Linked DNA regions of Drosophila melanogaster. Changing the gene in region 3 together with the main gene of any one other region gives a genetic interaction. Each region holds a gene or a part of one and is shown on either strand. Other genes may lie near its edges.

Evidence for each region. Genes that interact genetically often act in the same process or in processes that back each other up.
Region 1: of fra (region 3) and Src42A, changing one suppresses a phenotype caused by changing the other (phenotypic suppression), as found in Drosophila melanogaster (one study listed by BioGRID).
Region 2: of fra (region 3) and RhoGEF64C, changing one enhances a phenotype caused by changing the other (phenotypic enhancement), as found in Drosophila melanogaster (one study listed by BioGRID).

The regions. Positions count from the first base shown.
Region 1 is NT_033778.4:5,991,065-5,996,015, forward strand, and holds the start of Src42A (Src oncogene at 42A), read left to right. Parts: upstream 1-1,927; 5' UTR 1,928-2,313; intron 2,314-4,951. UniProt on the Drosophila melanogaster protein: Required directly or indirectly for the phosphorylation of drpr which is necessary for the interaction of drpr with shark and subsequent glial phagocytic activity.
Region 2 is NT_037436.4:4,690,997-4,695,806, reverse strand, and holds the start of RhoGEF64C (Rho guanine nucleotide exchange factor at 64C), read right to left. Parts: upstream 3,025-4,810; 5' UTR 2,402-3,024; intron 1,603-2,401; exon of another isoform or gene 1,485-1,602; coding exon of another isoform or gene 1,068-1,484; exon of another isoform or gene 962-1,067; intron 1-961. Other genes in the region: CG15876 (uncharacterized protein), read left to right, coding at 1,068-1,484.
Region 3 is NT_033778.4:12,527,428-12,532,086, reverse strand, and holds the start of fra (frazzled), read right to left. Parts: upstream 3,035-4,659; 5' UTR 2,361-3,034; coding exon 2,261-2,360; intron 1-2,260.

The sequences.
Region 1 (4,951 bases), 6.5 Mb from region 3:
ATATTGAGTTTCGGTTAATTAAAATGTTCAATAATATGATTGTTGAGAGCGATTTGAGAAGACTCAAATAAATATTTTAACAATTAAAGAAAAGTTATGATACCACAGTTTGCAAATAAATGGGTCCGATTTTCCAAATAATTATAATTTCAGCTCATATGCAGCGAATTTAGTATTTTTTGAACCTCCGTATTCATTATTCATTAATAATTCAAGCCATCCTTTATTTTACTCCCGTTGCCACTATAGGCTGCAATTGTTATTGAACATGACATCAGAAAATGTCGTTGAACCCACGAAGAGAAGGCAATTGTTTTAGAGAGCCACATGCAAGAGCCGTGTCGGCATTTATTCATATTTCCCTGTGTTCATGCGTGGTGAAGTTCCGATTTAGTTGAGCGTTCTTCTTTCGGCTCAGGTGAAGTGTGTGTGTGTGTAGACAAATCATTCGAGTTTGTGGCAAGTCAATAATACTCAATAGAAGGCAATTGTTTTAATAATTTGTCAGTAGCTAAAAAAAAACATAAGTGACAACAGACTCGGTCGTCGCTCTCCAGGAAGGTCGAACGACTACATTTTAATTGACTCAGTGATATAGTGTTAATTTTTAGCTGATACGTCCGATAAAGACTACATATACTAACGGTGAACGTGTTGATGTTATAGGAATTTGAATTAGCGTAAAATTGCACAGGAAGCAAATATTCACCTAGTCTGGCTGGGCATTAATTGACTCGTAATTTACGTAGAGGTAAATACACACATTTCAATCAGATTAGGACAGTAGAAGGAGACGAAATCGCATTTTGTCGATACAGTTTGGTGTGTGGCTAGATTTGATTTCAGTTATACGACCTGTAAGCTGTGACTTTGTGCTGTAATATTGTAAAAGTTAATTTAAAATGAAAAAAGAATATACTGCTAAGTTAGATAACCGTATACTTCAGTGATATTGGCCATACTGCCTAACGTTTTTATAAAAGTGTCCTTTTATTTATTTATTTTGCATTACACAACCCGTTAAAGTTAACATTTAACACTTTCTGTTTACTTTTTATTTCCAGGTAAGTCCCAATATTTCAGTATTTAAGGGTTTTGTGGTCAGGGAAACGGAGAATCTGAGCCATCGACGTAAACACATGTGTTTATATGTGCACATGAATTTCTATTTACATAAGGGAGCTCAGGAACACTCATATTTGGTCAAGTGTTAAATCAAAGTGACTAACGACTATGTTTATAGATTTTGCCCTCCGACTTTTCGCAAAATATCCCCAGGTATTCGTTAATATATTCTTAATATTAAATGGTATGTCCAGGCGCGAGTCCCCACTGCGAGTCCCTTCTGGATTGGATACTAGCCATTAGTATTCCCACGATGTAGACTCTAATATTTTCTATTTCAGCAATGTTCCATAGCATACCTTATCAATGACGAGTTCAATGGCGTTCACAAGAACCCAAGCGGAGACATTTAGAAACAAATAATTTGATTTCCAGTGACGCGACAGTGCTGAGTTATTTTGGTTACGTGAACAAATTAATACAACCTGACATTTTGTCAGTAACAGCGACGAGTTAATTGTTTTCAACTCGATTTGATCTTTGCAATCAACGCACTTTGTGACTAATTGTTGTCGTAATTACAAAACTGTGCAGTTTATCTCGGAGCATCTTAAGAGAGAGGCACTTGGAGACGAAGAGCGAGACCACTCTTCGACGAGCCATTGGACTTCTGGGCCAAGATAAAAGAGACTAAGCACACAAAGATGGATCGAAGAGCGAGAGAGCGGGAACGGTTGGCCAACACGCGGGCAGCGAGCTTGGCTCAAATGGCACACACATAGATGCCAAGGCGGCGGGTGCGAGTGTGTCGGTGCGGTGGCAAGCGGTTAAAACCTTTCTATAAAAATTTCATAAACGTATCAGTTGTCTGCGAAGCGGTGCACAAAACGGACGTGTAAACGGAAGCCGCACGAAAACGGCTCGGAAATCGGAATAGCGCCCGTACACGCAGCACATAGGAAATCGAATCCGAATCTGAGTTAAATGCCTTAATCGAATTTGGCCAAAGCTCGCCTACCGCGCTTACAAGTTTTTTCGTTCACGGGCCGATGAAATCTATATAATCTATTATCCACAAGCCACCACAGAGCCACTAGATGCACTGTGCGGCGCATGCGCGACCTGTTTGTGTTGTTGGCATACTTCTAACAGTCAGTGTTTTCTTTGTTCAAAAGTGCCTCAAGTAAAACCCCACTTTGATATGGATAAGTGGTAACAAGAGCAGCAGTAGCAGCAAAACTGGAAAAGGTACAAGCCCAGGGAAGCTGCAGTGTGCGGAACATTCCTCTGGTGGATCCGAACTCAGAAAAAGATGGGAACAGAACTTTCTATTTTCTTTACTGTTTCGCGTGTGTTTCGCTGGTCATGCAAACATATTTTCTTTGCCTCGGCGCATGCCGCTGGAATTAGAACGGTGTATTCCGTGCGGAATACAAAGTCGAGCTTATTTCGTAAGAGAATTCCTGCGAATCTGGTTATGCAATGCCTGACAGCCCACAAAGTCGTCCTCAAGTTGTTGCGAACTTTATCGTTTACTATGTGCTAAAATGCACAACTGGCTTGCCAAACGGGTGATACATTTTTGTAAGTGCTAAAGCGCTCAGTTCCGTGCACATGAACTTTCTTATACACTGCTGTGCACTTCCACGGCGTTTTTTTTTTTCAGACACCATACCAGGCCTCAGAAATCATATCAATTTCGACTTACGTGACTTGGGCAAACTGCGCCATTTCGCACATATTCTTTGCGTTTAGGCTAAGATTTAAGTTGGCTCTCAGGCTTGGAATTAGCGGAGTTTAGGGCCTTCTTTTATATCGCTTTTCAGCCTTCTCTTGCTGCACTGTGCCGTGGTCGTAAATTTCCTGCGTCATGAGTCATGCCTGTCAGTCGGAGTCGCTTAACAACAGCAGTGGTAGCAGAAAAAAGATAAAGATACAGATACAAAATATTCAGTTGAAAAACACATGAAAATTGCTTTCATGGTATTGAGTGTGGAGCTCCAGATGAGCTAAAGAGAGGCAAAAAAGCTCATTGTTTATGGTAGCTGGCTTCGTGGTCCGCTCTTTGTTGTTGGCATTCCGAGCTGTAACCTCTGATTGTGATCCCTTCGAATTACTCCTTTCAGTTCATTGGTTCTCTCTTCAGCTCCTGCCACTTAAGCTATTAACTGTGGACCGTGCACTTTCCCAAAAACCTCTTATACATACGCTGACGATACTTTGTTTTCAGTTAGAATAAATAAATACAGTAAGGGAATAAAATAAATGTGGTTTTTAAAGCATATATGTGCAATCTCGGAGTCACGTTCCTACTGGAATATTTGCGTCGTCCTTGCACTTCTCTTTTTTGAGTAACGGGTATTTGTTAGTCAAAGAACTCGCTTTGGTGTTTTCTCTTGTTTTTTTAAGAGTGTTGGCGCCACAAAATATTTGATGAATGTGAAGGACGTTCAATTTCTTTTAGTTTCTCTCTTAAAAAAACAATTTTTTTATTAAATTAAGTACACGAATGTCGCGGATATTAATATATATGAAAAGTTCGACATATCGAATAAATTCGAATTCCATGAGTGGAAGGGAACTAAGTCTCGTCACCATTGTGCAATGACCTAAATCACGGTCATAAAATCAAAGCCAAACTTTTTTTTACCATAAGTTTTGTTGTGTTGGTTGAGGTTGTCGGTCAATGGCTATGTTTTTGCTGGCCAAATAGCTTACTTTTGATTTCCACATTAATGGAGCGCAGCAAGCGAATCACAATGTTATTTGCATTAAATTTTTTTGGAGTCACGGAGAAAGTACGCACAAAAGCTATAAATTAGACGGCATCACACAGCTTCTTAATTCCTATCGCTCTCTTGCAATGATTCACTTTTTTTTGGCTACGCAACGTAGACTCGCTCACAGATTTGGCTGAAAACCATCATGTCGAATGGCAACAGAAAGAGTTAGTGTTTGATTTTCGAGGTTTACTAGTTGTGGATTGGCGCACTAGAAGGAAATAACAAAAAAGCAGACAAACATAAAAAACGTTAAACCGGTTCAATTTGGGTCGTAGTACCTTTGAGTGCAATTGTTACCTTTCAGAAACAACGACAACAAAGACTTCGCCAATCGCACTCCATTCCACTCGCTCTGCAGCTCATTATACCCGTTATTATGTTCGTCTTGTTCAGTTTTCTTGGCACGCGTTACCGTAAAAAAAAAAAACTCCCACACAAGCAACCGAAAACACATCGAGCGATATTTTGTAATGACCATGCTTCGAATCGGTTACCATAGGTCAGTCAACAAGTTCGGTGTGAGTTGAGCTTTTATTCAGGGATAAACGCACCGTAGTCTTTTTGTTCATACTCGGTTAGTAACAAAAACTATACAAATCTTTAAAACACTCGAACAATTTTGGTCTTTTTGTACAACTTAACGTATGTAAGAATGTGTAAAATATTGTAAAACACAACGATTTTCTACTAATGTTTTTAAAACATTTTAAAGATATTTTTAAAATATCATATACCGATTCCTCTGAAGTCCACCTACGGCTGTCTAATTCGCTAGATGTTGACTGTAAAAGGTACAGGGTTTTAAAATTGTTTCAATAAAGCAAAATGTTCCCGGATATGTTTCGATCAAGAATATATATATATATATACATTTTATATATACTTTTCAACGAATCTAATTTCCGCTTTTTATCTTCAACTACAGGAATAAAAATATAATTTCTTGGTACACGACAGTATTAGTCCTTGACGTCCGACTCGTGACAAAAACTGCTAAAAGATATAGATTACTATATGCATCAGAGCTTTCAATAGCCTTTCGAAAACAAGACGGGTTCAACTGGTTTTATACAACGTCGTTGCTGTTATGGTTATTGTTGGTG
Region 2 (4,810 bases), on a different chromosome or scaffold from region 3:
CCATCTAACCAGCCCACAGTAAATCGCTTTTATGACCAAGGGGGTTAAGACAAGGTCGCAGACATTCGTTCATAAATAAATATTTAACACGCAGTCCTTCACAAGTGGGTTGGTTGTCGGGCACAAAAAAAAAACAGGAGTAAGAGTAGACGAGTGCCACTTTGGGATTATATTTATCACTTCATGGCAACTCATTAAATATAAATGATTTTCATTTGCCGAGAGTTGAGAGGGAATTTATTTAGTTGCAGTGGGATTGGACTTAAAAGGCAAACTTTCGTACAATTTGAGCGTAATCCTTAAGCAATAAAAACAAGCATGTGACTTCAGAAAAGTTATTACATTTCATAGAGTAAATTAATTTTTTACAATTTATTATTCGTAAATGAATTAAAAAATCAAAATGATATATTTCATTTAATTGTTAATGAAACAACATATGAAAATATCTTTAAACTTCATAACCACTTTAACATAAATATTTTAATTTTAAATATTTTTGTGGGTTTTTACTTAAATTTCATTCAGCTGCATTTCTGCTACCTTAAATTTTATTTATTTCATTGATAACTTTTCCACCAGTTATCTAATCTAAGCTTAAAACGATTTGAACGCAATCCTCAGACACTTAGTCACCGTTTTAATCTTTTCCTTATCCCCATATTTATTCAGCGCCAGCTCAACTGAAATATCTTAAAGCAAAAGGTCAAGCCATAAACCATTTCCACCCCAGCAAATGCCGCGCAAGGTGAGCACTACCCACATGTGTGCAAGGAAGATGTACAGTATCTTTGGCCTGAGATGTCAACTTGGCAAGGGATCAAAAAAGGGAGGAAGGATCTCTGGTTTTACCGGAGCACTTCAGGTAATTACGCGACTCGTACAAGTCAGCAGGTCAGTCGGCGGGTCAACAGGTAGCTAAGCGCCCCAGATATAAATAATCCTGGTAAACCACGTAGGGACATCATTCACAGCTCAAGCTGCCAAGCAGTCACAGCTTGTCCTGTCGCAGCCAGCATTTTGAAGTCTATACAAAAAAAAACAACAAAGGAGCTATTCTATCTGAAATGGAAGCCCAACGTAACAACGCCAACCACCGACGCGGAGCTCGTCCGAGCGTGGGCTATCTACTTTTTCAGTACCAGAGCGAGCTGACCCGCCGTCATGCGGAACCCACGCGGCTGTCCCGCACCAAGATTCACATAATCGATGGACTGGTGTCCCGCACCATCCGCCACATGAAGCACTGCAGCATGGAGGATCTGAGGGCCTGCAAGAGGGAGCTCGTCTACAAGGAGCAGCTGCGCGATCAGCTCAAGAACATGCGACGCAAACGCTCCTCCTCCGTCAACAAAGTCGATGCTAGTGCCAACACATCCGCCCCCGTTGTGAGTGTCAAGGCGCCATGCACTCCACCGAAACCTCGATCCTCCACAGGAGAGTTCTCCAAGATGGACATCTTCGGACCGGAGATCTTCGTTTAAGTTTAACTTAATCTATTGCAATTTTAAATTTACTAGTTTCCTTAATTGTTGACGATTAAAAATCATTGAACATGAAGATTTCTTAAGAAAATTATTCAATAAATAAATATATAAAAGCAAAATGCCAAATGTTTTATTATTTACTTAATATGTTTTCCAATGGCTATTAACAATGCATTTAAATATGTAAATTGCTAAATTTGAACTAAGCCCGACGAATTCACTATTAAAAGGCAATAATCTGCGAAAATTCGAAAAAAAAAACCAAAATTACAACAACAAATGTGGCAATTACACAAAAATGTCAATTGTCCGCGGATTTGTTGTAGGAGTGGAAATTCCTGTTCTGTAAGCCTGTTTTTGGCTCTGTTTTTGCTAGCTAGCCAGGGCTAAAATGTGTGCCGCAAAATGCCAGGCCCGAACTCTGGGGCTCAAGAGTCAAGAGTTCCCACGGAGCGAGGCAGCATCGATCCATTGAAAATTGGCCACCACTCACCGATCTGTGATAGATGCGTCCGACCGAGAGAGCCAAGAAAAACAGAAAACCAGGCAGCAGACGGGCCAAGAATGCGGTTTAAAGTTCAATCGTGCAGCAAGTGTTATTTAGGGGTTCGCAGTGAGGCAGGAATATCGATCTATTCGGCGGTGAAAAACGTGAGATGCGATGATCTAACCGAAGCTTTCTTAGCCAGCCAAAACAGAAGCAGAAGTTATGAACCTGCGACCGAAGACAACTGATATGCAAATCGTCAGCGGGAGAAATGTATACTAATGAATATATTAACCAAATCAAGTTCTAAGCAGTTCAGATGTTTTCACAATTTACCTCATTAGCTTTATGCTCATTGGGGGGGATAATATCTATAGTTTGTTGGCATTATATTATTTTCTCGTTTATTAGAATGCATTTGCCTTACCTTTTTGGGTTTCTTCGGGGCCCAAATTAAACGTTGAAATATTCCACTTGCTGTACAAATTTGTTGCTTTCTATTTGCATATCGCTGGGTACAATAAATTATGAGCACAATGTTAACAGGCGAACAAATAGAAGAAGAACGTATACACCGAGTGACGTTTTTCCTTCTATATAGCGAGCACTCTCTTCTTTCTTTCTTATTTATTATATTTTCTACTTTTCGGCAAGCACATTCGAGTGAAATGCAGCTGCGACGGCTGCTCTGGTTGTAACTGTAGTTTAGACACAAACACGTTTTCTTGCGGCCAGCCCAGTAATTACGGCAAAGGCTATTTTAAGGCCTCAACCAAAAATAACGAAAGCCGATCCAAAAGCGAAGAAACCGAGAAATGCAATCGCCGAGCAAATGCAACGCGGCGAAATGGAACGAAAAAAGCGAGTTAAAAGCTAAAAAGCCAAAATGCAAATGGTAACACGCACACCGCGCACTAACACCTGCACAAACACACACAAAACGTTCGTTCTTCGGCGAAGAAGAATCGTGTTTATATATCACCGTTGGATTGCATATATCCAACAGATCGCGTCGCGTTTCGAGCTGCACGACGGTTAACTGACGAATGACCAAAAGTTTCAGCTGCCGGACAGCTTGGAGTTCGAAAAGTCCGCCGCTCTGAGTTCGAAAAGCAAAAACGAAGCAGATCGCGCGCGCTCTCTCTCTCTCTCTCTATTTTCATCTCCGATGATCGCAGTTCGTTGCCTGAGTCTTTCGACTCTGGCCGTTGTTTTTTTTTATTTGTGCTTAGAATCTTTAGTCTGTTGTTGCCGTTGATTTATTGTCCAAAAATAACTGTTTTTTCATTGTGCATTGAACTTATGAGGAAACGAGAGAGTAAGAAAAGCACAAAATTATTTTATTATCGATTTTTTGATGACACACTTCCCCGAAAGATTTGGGTTTTCGGATGTTCTTTCTGTTATTTAGATCTGACAGATCTTTTGATCTCTGCTCTACGATTCGGCTTTAACTTTCGCTACTCGACGCTCTCGTTTGCTCAAAGACTTTTACTCTCTAGCCCAGCGCAATTACGATTGCAGCTCTCACTGCTCTCACTCGAAGTTTTGTTTTCGGACTTAGCTCTGAATTCGCTCTGTTTACTCCAGAAATTACCACCTACTGCGGTCTCGCTCACTCGCAGGGCGGCTTAGAGACGCCTCAGCTTTTTTTGGTCTATCCAACTTCGAATGACTTCTTAACGGTTCGGTACTTAATGCCTCGCTTTTTTTTACACTGATAGAATATTTTAACGTGAGCCTAAGTGATAATTAAGGCAATCATTTTTAATACATAAAGATTAAGAAAACTGTATAATTTCTAATTTATATAATAAACAAAATAATAATAAACATATTTCACAAAATCACAAATACATTGTTGTTTGTTTTTTCGTATATTGGAAAAGGCTGTAAATCAATATGCACAGATAATAAAATGTACTTATTCATCAACCAGCTCCCAATAATTTTTTATGTCCGAGAACTTTATGGCTAAGTTATCCATTTTTTTCAGTGTGCTAGTTAGTTTTTTGTCATTACTGGGCTCTCACACAGGGCGCTGGAACTGCAGCTGTTATTGTCATTTTCCTTTTAGCAACAGCTTCACCTCAACTTAGTTTGGTTCAGCTCGCTTCGCTTGAGCGTAAATTTCTGAGGTTTCCAGGCTATTCTTTTGGATACCATAATGCTGCCGCTCCTCCGCACCTTCTCCTTGGGCCATTATCAGCATTGTCATCGTTGTCGCTGTGTCGTTTGCTTTTTGCGATTTTTCTTTCAGCTTTTCACAGTTTTTCCTGCCCCATGCCTTCCACGCTTGTAGGGCTGCTCTGCTGCTGGATCTGCCATATATAGCTATATATGTCTATATATATATATTTACCACAACTGAAACCGCAGCAGTTGGCCGCCGATATGATCTGATTTATTGTAGTTTCCCGACTTCTTGTTGTTGCCGTCGTCTGTTAAAATATTTATTTACAATTTTCACAATTGGCATTTCAGTTCAGCGAGCTTGTCTCTGATTGTTTGATTGCATTGTGCCATTGTTATTGTTGCTGTTGCATTTGCTGCAGACTGTTGCCCCACTTTTACTTATGCACATAAATAATTAGAGTATTTATGTTGTAAACTGCTTGATAACAACATTTGCATCGTTAGCCAAGTTAGCACAAGTACGCCTCAAGTTTTAGGGAATTCTGAGTATGTTTATCTTAATTTGCCAAATGTTCCTCGATAACACTATTGATATTCGAGTACTAAGAGTGATTGCAACAATCAAAGCTTCGTGTTGTTTTTGATGTGAAGAGAAATTATTTGTTCTCTGAAAAATGTAACTTGGTTGTATAAGCAAATA
Region 3 (4,659 bases):
CCCTCGGAACGAGCGGAAAAAATGTGTCCAGGAATATGAAAAGGGGTGCGAAATTAGAATAACATGTCACTCATATATTGTATCACGTAATGCGGCTAAATGTGCTCCTGGCCACGGGAAAAAGCCAGTGAACGCCAGGGTGAGGCGACTCGCCCAGGACAACATCAAACAATTGCCACAATTCACGGGCTAAAGAGCGAGGAAATATGACCAGGAAAGTGAAAACACAGAGCGCCACAAATAAGCACGAAAATGGGAACAGGACCTCGCACGTGAGTTTTTCGTACACGGTATAAGTAGGATCCTTCTATAAAATCAACTAGTTTGTTTAGCAAGATAGAAAAAACCACAAGGGTGTCTTAAGGCCACATAGATCTAAAGATCAAAATAAATTATTAAAATGCTTTTCTATAATTTAATTTAACTAACACGGAAATGTCTAACTTTGTCTTACTTTCATAGTATCTTATCAACCTTAATTGATGCATTATTATACGGTACTAAGTGGTCGTGAAGCCACGTGAGTCCATTGTTGTCACACAATTCTTTTCAGCTAGTTACACCCATGTAAGTAAAGTTGTTTTCTTTTTTTTTTAATTACATACCCACCACATAAAGCTTGAAGTTATGTGAGGGAATGCTTTTAATTAAATCTGGCATTAAGTCCTGCGACTTATGACATGCCATGACCTAAAAATTTGTTCAAAGATTTTTCATTCCATTTGCATATGACATGCCCCGACAATTTTTTACGACCGCACTTTTTTTGGGGTCCTTTTTCGGGCTGTCTTGGAGCTGGCGTTGATAAATTTTGCAGCTGATAAGGCGGCTCCCCGTTTTTCCAGGACACTTTTCACTTTTAGGGGTGGCTTTTCTTTCTCGTTTCGAAGATGGCGCAGAGACGAGATTCACGGCAGGACATTTAATTTGTTTGCATTATTTGCGCCTTTTGCGGGGATTTCCATTATCCCTCCCTCATTTTACGCGATTGTTTATTTCTCCAGCCGAAAATGGAAATATGATAAGCCTCTAAGCCACCCCTGGCTTAGTTTTCAAACCAAATCAATCAATTGATGCATTGTGCAGCTGCCCACCGATCTTGGGTAATCTTCTTCTGGGACCTAAAACTGAAACTGTGCCTGATCCTAAAACCTAATTGCATTTTGGGCTGCACTGGTTCTACCTGCGCTTACCTACCTGATCCCCTAAGATCACTTGTTCCCTGGCTTTGAGCTAATGATAATGACTCTTACGGCTACCATTTTGTTGGATTCTATTTCTTCGATTTCAGAATACTTTTTCACAGGAAATCGTGTTTGTTTTGGCTCAAATAATCGCAAACAAGTGCGTTGGTTTTCAATTCATGTTGTGCAGTGTTTAGTTTATCTCGTTTCAAGCGAAGCTCATTAGTAATGTTTAAGTTTTGAAGCACTATCGGTTTCGCAACCATCCCATTTTGAGTTCTTATCTGCAGGTGATATGATGGGAAGCAATTACGGTGAATTACCCCGGGTGATTGGCACATGTGGATGGAATAGGGCAGGGTTTTTGAAAGTACCTCAATTTTACGAGTGCAAAAAGAGCGCGAGTTGCGAAATATGACAGCTTATCGGATCAGTTCGCCGTTGACATCACCTTTCGCACATGAGGCTTTTTTTTTTTTGTGGGTCCCAATGCCTGCTTTCTGGCACGTCGACCAGACATCCAGTCGCCAAAACTGTACTTGCATTCATATTTGTTAAAATACAGATATCGAACTTTATGGTACCCGAATACACAACATAGATAGGGAATTGTACGAAGAGTAAAGTAACAGATAGTGTCATAAAATATGGTGGATGAGTGTAGTGAACTAAAAATTACTGGGCTGACAAACCACGTAGTTCATCTATTCGTACTATTTAATCGTAATATTTATTGAAGTGATATAAACTCATCTAATCTACCGAATTTATACACTGTTTTAGATTATTTCCTCCTGTCAGAAGGCAATTAAGGCGCAGCCCAAGAATTAAAGTTCAATCACATGTTCATAAAATTTTTTTTATATCTTTTATAATCTCTTTAATAATCTATATATGTACACAATTTGATAATGTCTTTCTGTGTAAGCAACTAAGCTTGGATTTCATGGGTCTTTGGTTTAAAATTATAAATTGACAACCTGCACAGCGAAAGATAGAAACTATCTACATTTTTATAAAGCCCTCTTACGGCACTTTGGTGCAAAATATTTATCATTTCAGATTGAAGTTCTCACCTTGACTTGCCAAACTGCTGCCAATCAGCTGGAATATGAGACAACTGCTGAGCAGCCAGTTCCACAAAGTCCTGCTGCTTCTGTTTGTTGTGATGGCCATATTCTGTTTGCTTTTCGCTGATTTGGCTGGAAACCGTCGTTTGCGATCGGAGGTAATTCGAATGGCTCAGGTTTATTTGGACTTTTGCGATTTGTTTACAACATTTTGGCTCTTGATACCCGCCAATCGCCGATTGCGCCTTCTATTTGTATCCTTTGCACCCACACATACACGCGACGCAAACACTCACACGCGACTTTTACTCACTCCACTTTTGTTGTGTATTCTTGGGCGATTATTGCTTTCGATTCTCTTGTTTTACGCTATTCGCATCAATCGTTTACGCGTTTTTGTTTTGCCGGCATTCGCCGCCTATTGTTGTTGTTTCAGGTCTTGTTGTTGCTGTTATTGCACGCTTGCAAGCGGGGCATTTTTACAACAACAGAAAATACTATCAACAAATTGCGCACACACACTCGAGTAAGTAGCGTTGTCTCGCTCTAACCTTCGGCAGGCATCAGGACTTGCAGCTGCAGTTCTATTTAAAACACATTTTCAGCGGCTGTATGTATTATTTGAGTGCCTTTTTCATTTATTTTCGATTTTGGCTGCACTTATTTTAATTTTCTACCTCTTTGCGATGGATTTTACTATTGGCAAACGCGTTTTCTCGCCACTAAAGAGTATACATGCGCGCAACGACCTCGACGACCGAAAAAAAATCCGAAACTGTCGAAAAAATCCCTAGCTGCGCGGGTGATGCGAAAACACATCCGCTATCGATGCTTATCGATGGTCTCACTACTATCGATGACGATGAAATGACTTTCGCACCATGTTATTCTTGCATATTATAAATTCATTATCATTTTACAAAGGGGTTTCCATAAGTAACGTAGTAATCAGTGCTCAGCTTTCTTACTAACGTAATCATAATATATTTTAATGACTGTCATCGACATTGAAAAGCAATCGATACTGGAGTGCACATCACCAAAAACGCGTTAAGGTCAGTTGAGCAATTTATTCCAAATGGCGCGTAATTCAAAAGTTAGGACCAAAGTCAATTACACATCAAAAGCAACAAACATTATTATTTCGAGGACATTTGCAGTTGGGATATTAATCATATGAATTTATATCGGTATTCAAAAGGTTTGCTCCTATATTTTTAAATATTTTAAAATTTCACATATTTTCGGTTTTACTTTACACAAATTTCTTTTTATGAGAGTCACAGGAGATTAATACTTAAAAATTTTAATGGCTTTCGAAATGTACCTCAACTTTCTCCCCGACTGATCTTGTTCATAAGTACGTTATTTCAGAAAAATCCTTTGACAGAAAACTTTATGCTCAAACCAATGGGAAAATCTCCTGTTTGAAATGCATTTTTTGCAGTTGGCCAGTGATTGCCACCCCCGAGCAACCGACGTGCAGACAGGTTGTGGTTAAAAGTTGTGGCTCTAAAAAAATGCATGTGGCAAAGGAACACTCATTTTAAAAGCGCCGACCAGCAACCAGCAGGAACTTTAAAGGCTGAAAAAATGAACATATCACTTTTCGCCTCGGAGAAATGTGAACGCAATAAAAAATCCGACCAAGGCCGACAAATTGTTGGTTGGGCGTGGGGTGGGGGGCGTGGCGTTGAAATGATAAATTTCACATTAAATGCCAGCGCTTAAGCGAAAGCGTCGTAAAAATAAACGACGGGGTGAAAAAGAAGGGGGAGGCATTTTTTTTTGGACTGGCAGGCCGCAAAAATAAGTGAAATGAAATTCCCTTCATTAGCGTATCATCCGTATGCCCACAAAATGTGGGTCAAGTTTCGAGGACTTGGATCAAATTACCAGAACCGGAGATTTTTCGCTGCTAATTGCAGGTTTTTTAAAAGCAGCACACACATTTCCCCACCAGACGCCACTGCAATTTTCAGTTTTAATTAATCCGAGCTACCGAGTCTTTCGAGTATCCGTATCTGTATGTGCATCCGCATCCCTGTATCTGTTATGCCAGCTTGAAGTTGGGCAACTTCTGGGCACCCACAAAACGCGGCGACTGATGGTGATTTGGATTCTGATTCGGATGTTCTTCCCATTCAAAGCTTTTAGGTGCCGACACGAAAAGGCGCTTAAGTGAATTAAGCCTGTGTGTGGTAATATATAAATTAAGGCATGCACTTCGGACATGGAAATTGCTTAAATATATAAAAGGTTCTCTCGTTTAACTTGGCAAATCCATTGTTCATGGCACTAAAGACTTTCACTGCAAATCGCTTCCTAAGAAAGTTGTTAACTTGGGTAGAACTAATAAAGGCAAAGATTTTAAATCCAGAGCCATTAGGAAGTTCAGAATATTT